Linked DNA regions of Nothobranchius furzeri. The protein of the gene in region 1 purifies or fractionates together with the protein of each later gene. This does not show direct contact. Links are inferred from orthologs where the notes say so. Each region holds a gene or a part of one and is shown on either strand. Other genes may lie near its edges. The genes, in order: naa30 and naa38.

The links.
Region 2: the proteins of naa30 (region 1) and naa38 purify together in Homo sapiens (co-immunoprecipitation; 3 studies listed by BioGRID and IntAct, with this or other methods). This does not show direct contact. The link is inferred for Nothobranchius furzeri from reciprocal best matches to the Homo sapiens genes NAA30 and NAA38.

What each region holds. Positions count from the first base shown.
Region 1 is NC_091742.1:23,665,523-23,670,084, reverse strand, and holds the start of naa30 (N-alpha-acetyltransferase 30), read left to right. Parts: upstream 1-1,661; 5' UTR 1,662-2,029; coding exon 2,030-2,833; intron 2,834-3,243; coding exon 3,244-3,367; intron 3,368-3,556; coding exon 3,557-3,612; intron 3,613-4,562. UniProt on the Homo sapiens protein: Catalytic subunit of the N-terminal acetyltransferase C (NatC) complex. Catalyzes acetylation of the N-terminal methionine residues of peptides beginning with Met-Leu-Ala and Met-Leu-Gly.
Region 2 is NC_091742.1:58,739,989-58,743,643, reverse strand, and holds naa38 (N-alpha-acetyltransferase 38, NatC auxiliary subunit), read right to left. Parts: upstream 1,936-3,655; 5' UTR 1,858-1,935; coding exon 1,819-1,857; intron 1,403-1,818; coding exon 1,213-1,402; intron 873-1,212; coding exon 748-872; 3' UTR 511-747; downstream 1-510.

The DNA.
Region 1 (4,562 bases):
GACCCCCTGACTTTAGTCCCTAATTAACCCAACAGAAACTAATTAAATACAGCTCTTGTGGACTCAGACGCCAGAGAGGAGGGGAATGGATTTCTTTTATGGAGAGGAGGAGAAGAGGGAGGACGGAGAACACGGGGAGGTGAGTGGAGTAAAGCAAGCAGGCAAACACAAAGCAGGGAGAAATAAAGAAATTAAAAGAAAAATTAGGTGTAGCGTCCTGCCCTTTAATTCTTTACTGACTTCTTCACACGCTGCTTGTTTCCACGTGTTTTGTATTTTTTCACTCTGTGTAAAAACGCATCTGCCAAAAGCTGTAATCACAAGCGCACCAGTAACGTGATGCAACCAACACCCTGGAGATATTTGGAAAAGGTTTGAGACAGGATGGAGAGAGCCGCAGAGAGACTAGAGCAGTGTGTAATGAAAGCAGAAGGGGGAAGAATTAAAAAAAGGAAGGAATGTGGTGGTGGAGGGGTAGATGGAGGCACAGGATGGTTTTTTATTTTTTGTGAAAGCGACGATAGGTGCAAATGAACTCAAAATCGGCCAAATGTCTCTGGCAAGGACACTTGTGCTCCTAGTCCTAGGCACGGCTCTCTAAGTGACAGAGAAGAGAAGCCTGTTCAAGTAGATAGGCCTGGAAAGGAGATTTTGGGGGGAGTGGGGGGGGGGGTCTGATTTCAGCTCTTCAGTGAGGTTTCTGCTTCACGACTTGGCTTTAAAAGAAGAATCTTACTCCAGCTCAACCGCTCTGTTTTGTTCTTTGTCGAGTGTTTTCATAAACAAAACGATTTTTGTGTAAAACGTCTATTCTTTGGCTGCATAAGCATTGATCATGATGTTGCTTTCTATCAGTCAAATTATATGCTACTTCCAAAAACTATCAGAGAGTTAAGCTGAGTAAACTTTACAATGAGGTGTATAGAAACTGAGACATAGAAAGAATGGTTAAAGAAACAAGTCGCTGTCCACTTCAGAGTGGTGCTGAAATCACATGATTGGAGCGTTTATCCTTACAAAAATACTGCATAAGAGATAAACTGTAGATGATGAAATAAAAGTGAGATAGGGATGGAAAATCAAAACTTTGCAATGGTTGGCTGTTTATGGAGTCACACGCGCCCAAAAAAACAACTTGTAAACGTGATGAGTCCGACGCTGGTCTACAGGTGACATCTGCTGGTCAAACTGGAGTAGTGCAGTTGTATAAAGTTGAACCATGGCTTTTTGACGCCCTCTGCTGGTGAGAGAGCAGAAATGAGTCAGCTGTGGGGGCTGATTAACCCCCACAATCTTACAGTACTTTAATATTTGCTTTTGTTTTAAATTTAATTTAATTTAATTTACAAGAGTCATGCATACAACAAAGACAACAAAGAACAACATATCTTTGTTCCTACTTAAAACAATTGCATGTACAAGAGCAAAACAATCAGGAGTGAAAATTGATTACATTTACAATCCAAAATTTCCCCCATAGTATAAAGTTTGTACATTTGTTAGAAAACTGTTTGTCAAGTTGTGATAGTAAAAAAAAAACAATAAAAACTTCTTATGGTAGCTACATTGTTTAATTTCCATGCCTGACATAATTCATGATTTGTGCTTCTTGACTTGGTTTGTTTGTTGGGATTTTATTTATTAATTAATTTGTTTGTTTGTTTGTTTGTTTGTTTGTTTGTTTGTGTTCACGTGCATCAAAATCAGAATCTGCTCAAATCAGTCTGCAGCAGCTCAAATTTCAAGCTTTCCCCGGTGGTAAAAAGGCGTTGCCATGGCCTTCACTAGTGTCGTAAAACTTCATATTCTGTTGCAAAGAGTTTCGCTGCGAGACTGCTTTGCGGCAGCAGAGAAATCGAGGGGAAAGCAGTGCAAGCGTTGCCAGCGGATACGTTACCGCCTCAAAAGTCCTCGGATTTTCACCATAGTCGGCATTTTTTGTCATATATAAATTGTATAACCTCTCGGTTTGTGGATGAAATCGTGTTTAACGTTTCCCAAGCGTGAATCTCCACTTTAATGCAGTGGGATGGCCACAGTGCCGCCTGGGCCTGGTAACGCACTGCTTTCATCCCCGGCTGCAGTTTCTCCTTTCTCCGGGGAAGGGAGCGCGGAGGCGGCGGTGGAAGACGGAGAGCAGACCTGCCACGAGGAGGACTGCGTTCCAGTCGGTACAGGGAAGACGTCACAACCGAAAAACGACGTTACAAGGTCGGTCAGGAAGAAGCGGAAAAGCATGCTAGCTCAAGCTAGCCCGGCGGCGCTGCACCTGAAAGTGCAAGCCCGAGAACAGCAGCAGCTGAACGGCTTGGTCAGTCCCTCGGAGGACCGTGACAGCCATCAGCAGGAGGAGAGCCGGGCTGACAATCTCAGCTCGTCCGCGGACAACTGTGACAGCAGCGGCAGCGAGGGGACAGCAGCCGCGACAAAAAATAAGGAGCACTGCCAACACGAAGGCCCCTTCTCCAAAAACGGCAGTCACTCTCCTCTGATGAACACCTCCGTGAACGGTATGCCGGGTTTAACGAGGACTGCGGCGACTCACGACCACACGCTGCCCCCGAGACCGCCCAGCGACGAGCCACCGGACGGCGACGGGCCCCACGGGGAGGTCAGCCTAGCTCAGCCGCTGGCAGCGGACCTGGCCCGGCTCGACCTGAGCGGCTCCTCCGACCGGGCGGACGCGGACAACCACGGCATCTGCTACGTCCGCTACGAGTCTGAGCTGCAGATGCCCTGGATCATGAGATTAATCACCAAGGACTTGTCTGAGCCTTATTCTATTTACACGTACAGGTACTTCATCCATAACTGGCCGCAGCTTTGCTTTCTGGTGAGTAAAACCCGCCTTAACCTCGCTCTGACTTTGCCCAAAGCAGGAATATGTACAAGATAAGTCGCTGAGCGTGTATTTGAGCTGGGTGTGGCTACACACCCGTGGCTTTTTACCTCCCGTCAATGTAAAAAGCAGGTTTGGAGACTCAAATACTCCCTTTATATCCCAGATCATTTCATTTGACTCATCTGTCGTGTCTCGTGTTCTGTAAAATTGGATCAGGTTAAGTAATGAAATTTGGGAAGTTCCTGTGATTGTGTGCCCTCTGTGGTAAATATCCCAGTTTGTGTGTAAAGGCCACATGAGGAGGGATGACGAAATGAAGGTCAGAGGGCAGATCAGAGGGAGTCAGCAGATCTGACAGACTGACAAGTCCCTAACCTCTTGAGTGTGTGCGTCTGTCGCAGGCCATGGTGGAGCAGGAGTGTGTCGGAGCCATCGTATGCAAGCTCGACATGCATAAGAAGATGTTCCGCCGCGGCTACATTGCCATGCTGGCCGTAGACTCGAAACACAGAAGGAAAAGCATTGGTGAGATGTCCACAATGTCCAGAAAGTCTTGTCCTGTTGCGACAGTGCCACACATGTAGTAGGCCAATGTCTTGGGCAGATGTGTTTACGCAAAACTCCTTTTTAACCAAAAAAGACTCGTAATGTTCTGTATCGGAGCAGACGAGGTTCTCGTCTGGGGTCACCGACTTCTTCTGTTGCTCATTTCAGGTACTAATCTGGTGAAAAAGGCCATCTATGCCATGGTGGAGGGGGACTGCGATGAGGTGACTTGGACACACACAAGAAAAACGTTGTCTCAAACCTGCTTGAGGTTTATGCATTAAATATCTTCGGTTATGGTGTTAATATATGATAAATCATAGATAAATAGGATATACAATCTAATAAGAGGTTAGTAATTGGGTTTGTTTGTTTTTTTCTGAGTCAGAATAATTCAGAAGATGAGACTTTAGTGAAAAATCAACCTTGGATCATCTCATAATTTGGTACTTGGAGTCTAATTATTTGATACCCTGAAAAACTGGAGATTGTTTTGAACAAATACTTGAAACTTTTATTACATTTTGTGATTCTAAAGACATAAGTCATCTAACCTAAAATGTGCTTAAAGTCAAACTATGTAACTTTTTCATATTTTTAAATCATTTTCTTGAGCCAATATGTGATAAAATGACCCTACAGGGTTAATGAAAGACCACCCAGTCCCTATCGCCCCCTGTGGCCAGAATATTCCACTTGCAACTGCAGACTGGCAGCCTGGTGCTGCAGTCTAGCTCCAGCACTTTCCCTGCAATGTTTTATTTCATTCATTCATTGAGGCCTAGTCCACACGTAGCTGTTTTTTTTTAAAACGAATATCCGCCCCTCCAAAAACTTGCATCCACACCACCTCGTTTAAAAAAAACTCTGTCCACACGTACCCGGATAAATACGTTGTTAAGGACATGCCAGACCTGTAGGCGGCAGTACTTCCCCCGTTCTTAACCTTGTCCTTCATCTGTGGTCTTACGCAAGGAGCAGTAATTCCGCTTGCAAAAACAAACGAGCAAAAAGCGCTTGGACAATTGATAAAGCGAGCGCAGCTCTGAGGTCATCCATGCTGTCGGCTAGTGTAAACACAGGTCGCACACGTGATGTCAGCATTTTTTGTCGCGGAAAGTGACGTTACAGACCTTAAAACTCCGGTTTTGTCTGTCCACACGCAGACACCCAA
Region 2 (3,655 bases), about 35 Mb from region 1:
GCGATCCGAGAGCCTCGTTTATAAATAAACGCTCTAGGCTGAGCTGGAGCTTGGGTTTCAGCATCATGAGTAGAATGTTTGGATAATATTTATCTGAAGTGTGGAACCAAACCACAGAGCAACACCTAAAGTAATAAACTGCTGTCTGTAAACGAGATTCGGGCATTGCGGCCGTGTGAGACACATATTTTCTGTTATGCTATTTTACGTTCTTCTTTGCACAAACTTAAGTTATTTTATAACTAACAGCCTTAAGACTGTAATAGCTTGTGTGTGAACCAAAATGTGACGGGTTCTTTGTTTTTAACTTGAAAAGATTTTGTTTTCTTTTTTTCCTTTGTGGCAAAAACATTTGTGGCCAAACTAAATCAGCTGATGTGCTCAAATGTATTAAAGTACAGAAACAATCCAGCTTAGCTTCTTTCTTTAAAGTAAATAAATCATTCTTGTTTATTTAGCTTTTTCCCTGATCTAAACTGACTTTTACACAAGCTTCACAGCAACAAAAACTTCAAGTAAACGTTTATTTTAAAATACTGCAACAAAACAAGACATTTATGCAAACACATACTTTCCCCCAGAGGCCTTTTCCACTTTTCCACTGTTCCTGTCAAATTTCTTTCAGTCATTATGGGAATGGCTAAATCCAGAGTGCAGTCAGGTTAAAATCCTGCAAACATGTCCCGATTTCTCCAGAACTCGCCTGACTAGGCAGGACCCAGTGAGTCCCAAGAGATTGCCAAACTGTCAGTGTGTGGCTCCGAATCCCTGTGTGTCCTCTAGAGTATCCACCTCTACCTCGATGGACACAACATGGTGACCGGGAATCATGGCTAGACCCAGGACTCTGGGTTCCCCCTGGGAGAATGTGTCTGAGAGGTAAACAAAGCAGGAAAAGATTATACTTGTGTAATAATATCATTATGCGGTTGTTGATCAACGTTGAGGCTTTTTCTGATGCTGTAAAACCTGAAATTTCTTAAGAGGTCACATTTTAACATGTTACCAGTTAACATCAAAGGGCGACCAAGTTCAGCTTGTTTGGTTACTAAAATAAAGAGAAAAACTGCTTTAGATGCTGGGATGAGCAAACAAAGTGAGTAAACAAATCAAGTTTGTGCATTTCAGAGGAACAGAGATGCTATTCCCAGGTTTTGGAATGATCAAAGTCTATAAACGTGTGCCCTAATTGGAGGAAACCCTAATTCATACCTGTAGATTTGAGAAATTCCTGAGCAGAACCCAGGATGACGTTACAGTCCCGATCTGTACAGAGGAAAAGGCCCACCAGAGTCCTTCCGTCTGTCATCCGGATCCTCATGTTCTTGTTGAGGAGTCCCTCTAGTTTCTGCCTAGCCTGGGAGGAGGATGACGAGGATGAGGAAGACACTTCAGATTGCTCCTGGGTGAGGGCAAAAATAAAAACACGGATAACTATTAAATCAGTTTAATTTTATCAAGAGCGTCAGAATTGTGTTATGTGCATTTAACCGTCTAAAAGCTTGCTGGTAACGACACTCATGATAACTCGGTAGCTAATCTAATATTTTATGTCGTTAGTTAACGACACTTAATTATTAATTATGTTCAGGTAAAATAATCAGTATTATGTTAATATCTGATAACGTTAAAACGATTTAACCAAATAAATTAGCTAGTAACGATAACGTGTGTTAGCTGCCAGCTAACATTTAGCTCCATTCGAAGCTCTAAAATAGATGCACTTTCTCTGTTTATAACCTTTTTGTTCCTCAATAAATTAAATAGAGAGCGGCAAAAACATCAGTGTGAAAAATAAAAGCTTCTTTGGAAACATACACGAGTTGAAGGTCCATTTTCCTCAATCATTGTTGCCATAACCTCGTCTCCTGCTGCTGTTGTTTACGGAGCGGTTTTACTGACGGACAAGCTTAACCGGAAGTTGCCGTACTTTTGTTTCTTTTTTTCTGAAACTGTTTACGGTTTGGTTTTAGGAAATAAAATCAATGCATGAAATAGGATTAGTCGTGTATTGTTTAAATAAAAATATATATCATTTTGGGGTTTTAATTGAAACGGAAACAAATTGGCATGAATTTCAAAATAAAACTCAAACTACAGCCTGTGAAAGTCCACGGTGATTTTTGATCACTTTGGTTTTTCTGTATTTTAGGGAAAAATTGACGTTTTCAAACAACTTGACTTTCAAAATGTTGTCTACCAAATATATCAAATAAACAGTTTATGAGTAACAGGGTCACACAAATAAATATGTTGCTCACTGAGGAAGTAAAGGCTTTAAAACTTTTAAAATTAGAATTTCAACGGGAAAATGACTTGTAGTTAATTTTAATATAAAAACAGGAACATTCAAGTGTTTAATATCAGCATGAATATCAGTGATATTTGTAAACTACGGGACACCTGAATGAACATTTACAAATGTTCTTGCAATATTTACCACAAGAGGGCGATGTAACATAGTTTAAAAGTCAAGCCTAGTGATGCGTCCACTGCCAGGTTTAATTCTACTTTCATCACTCGCTTCACAGTCTGGACCAGATTCAAATCCAACGTTGTTGAGTCCAATTCAGTATTATTAACTTAACTTTTTTAATATTTATTTTCATAATTTCAGTTCAGTAATTTTTGCTTTTCAATTTCAATTCAAGTCATTTTGGTCAAACTATTTAATTTTTTTTCTTCATTTTATTTAAAATAAAAAAAAATTGAACGTTTTATTTATTAATTTATTGATCTGATCCAATTCAAATCACTTTTGTTAAATATGATTTCATTTAGTTTAGTTTCCATCCATGCATTTTCCGCCGCTTATCCGGAGTCGGGTTGCGGGAGCAGTAGCCTAAGCAGGAAGGCCCAGACTTCCCTCTCCCAAGCCGCATGGGCCAGCACCTCCGGGGCATCCTAAGGTGTTCCCTGGCCGGCTGAGAGACACAGTCTCACCAGCGTGTCCTGGGTCATCCTTTAGGTCTTCTCCCAAGAGAGGAGTTTAAGTATCTTGGGGTCTTGTTTACGTGAGGGAAAGATGGAGCAAAAGATCCACAAGTGGATCGATTCTGCGTCTGCAGTGATGCGGGCGTTGTACCGGTCTGTCGTGGTGAAGAGAGAGCTGAGCCAGAAGGCAAAGTTCTCGATTTACCGGTCGATCTATGTTCCTGCCCTCACTTATGGTCACGAGCTTTAGGTAGTGACAGAAAGAACGAGATCACAGATACAAGCGGCTGAAATGAGTTTTCTCCGCAGGGTGTCTGGGCCCTCCTTTAGAGATAGGGTGAGAAGCTCGGTCATCCGGGAGGGGCTCGGAGTAGAGCAGCTCCTCCTCCACACCAACAGGAGCCAGTTGAGGTGGCTTAGGCATCTAGTTAGGATGCCCACCCTACATCTGTGCTGAGTGGGAGAGAACTTCCGTGGGAAGGAGGTTCAGGGATGTAGCTTAGCATCTGGGCCATGGTGGGATAGGCCAGGCCCAGGGAACACCTTGGGATTCCCCAGAGGAGCTGGCCCAAGTGGATAGGGAGAAGGAAGTCTGGGCCTCTGCTTGGGCGTCCGTCTCCGCGACCCGACCCAGGATAAGTAGAAGATGATGGATGAGTGTGTAGGTGATTCCCAGCCTGCCCCCCTCTCTGCTGTTATCTAATCAGGACCTGCTCCCTGG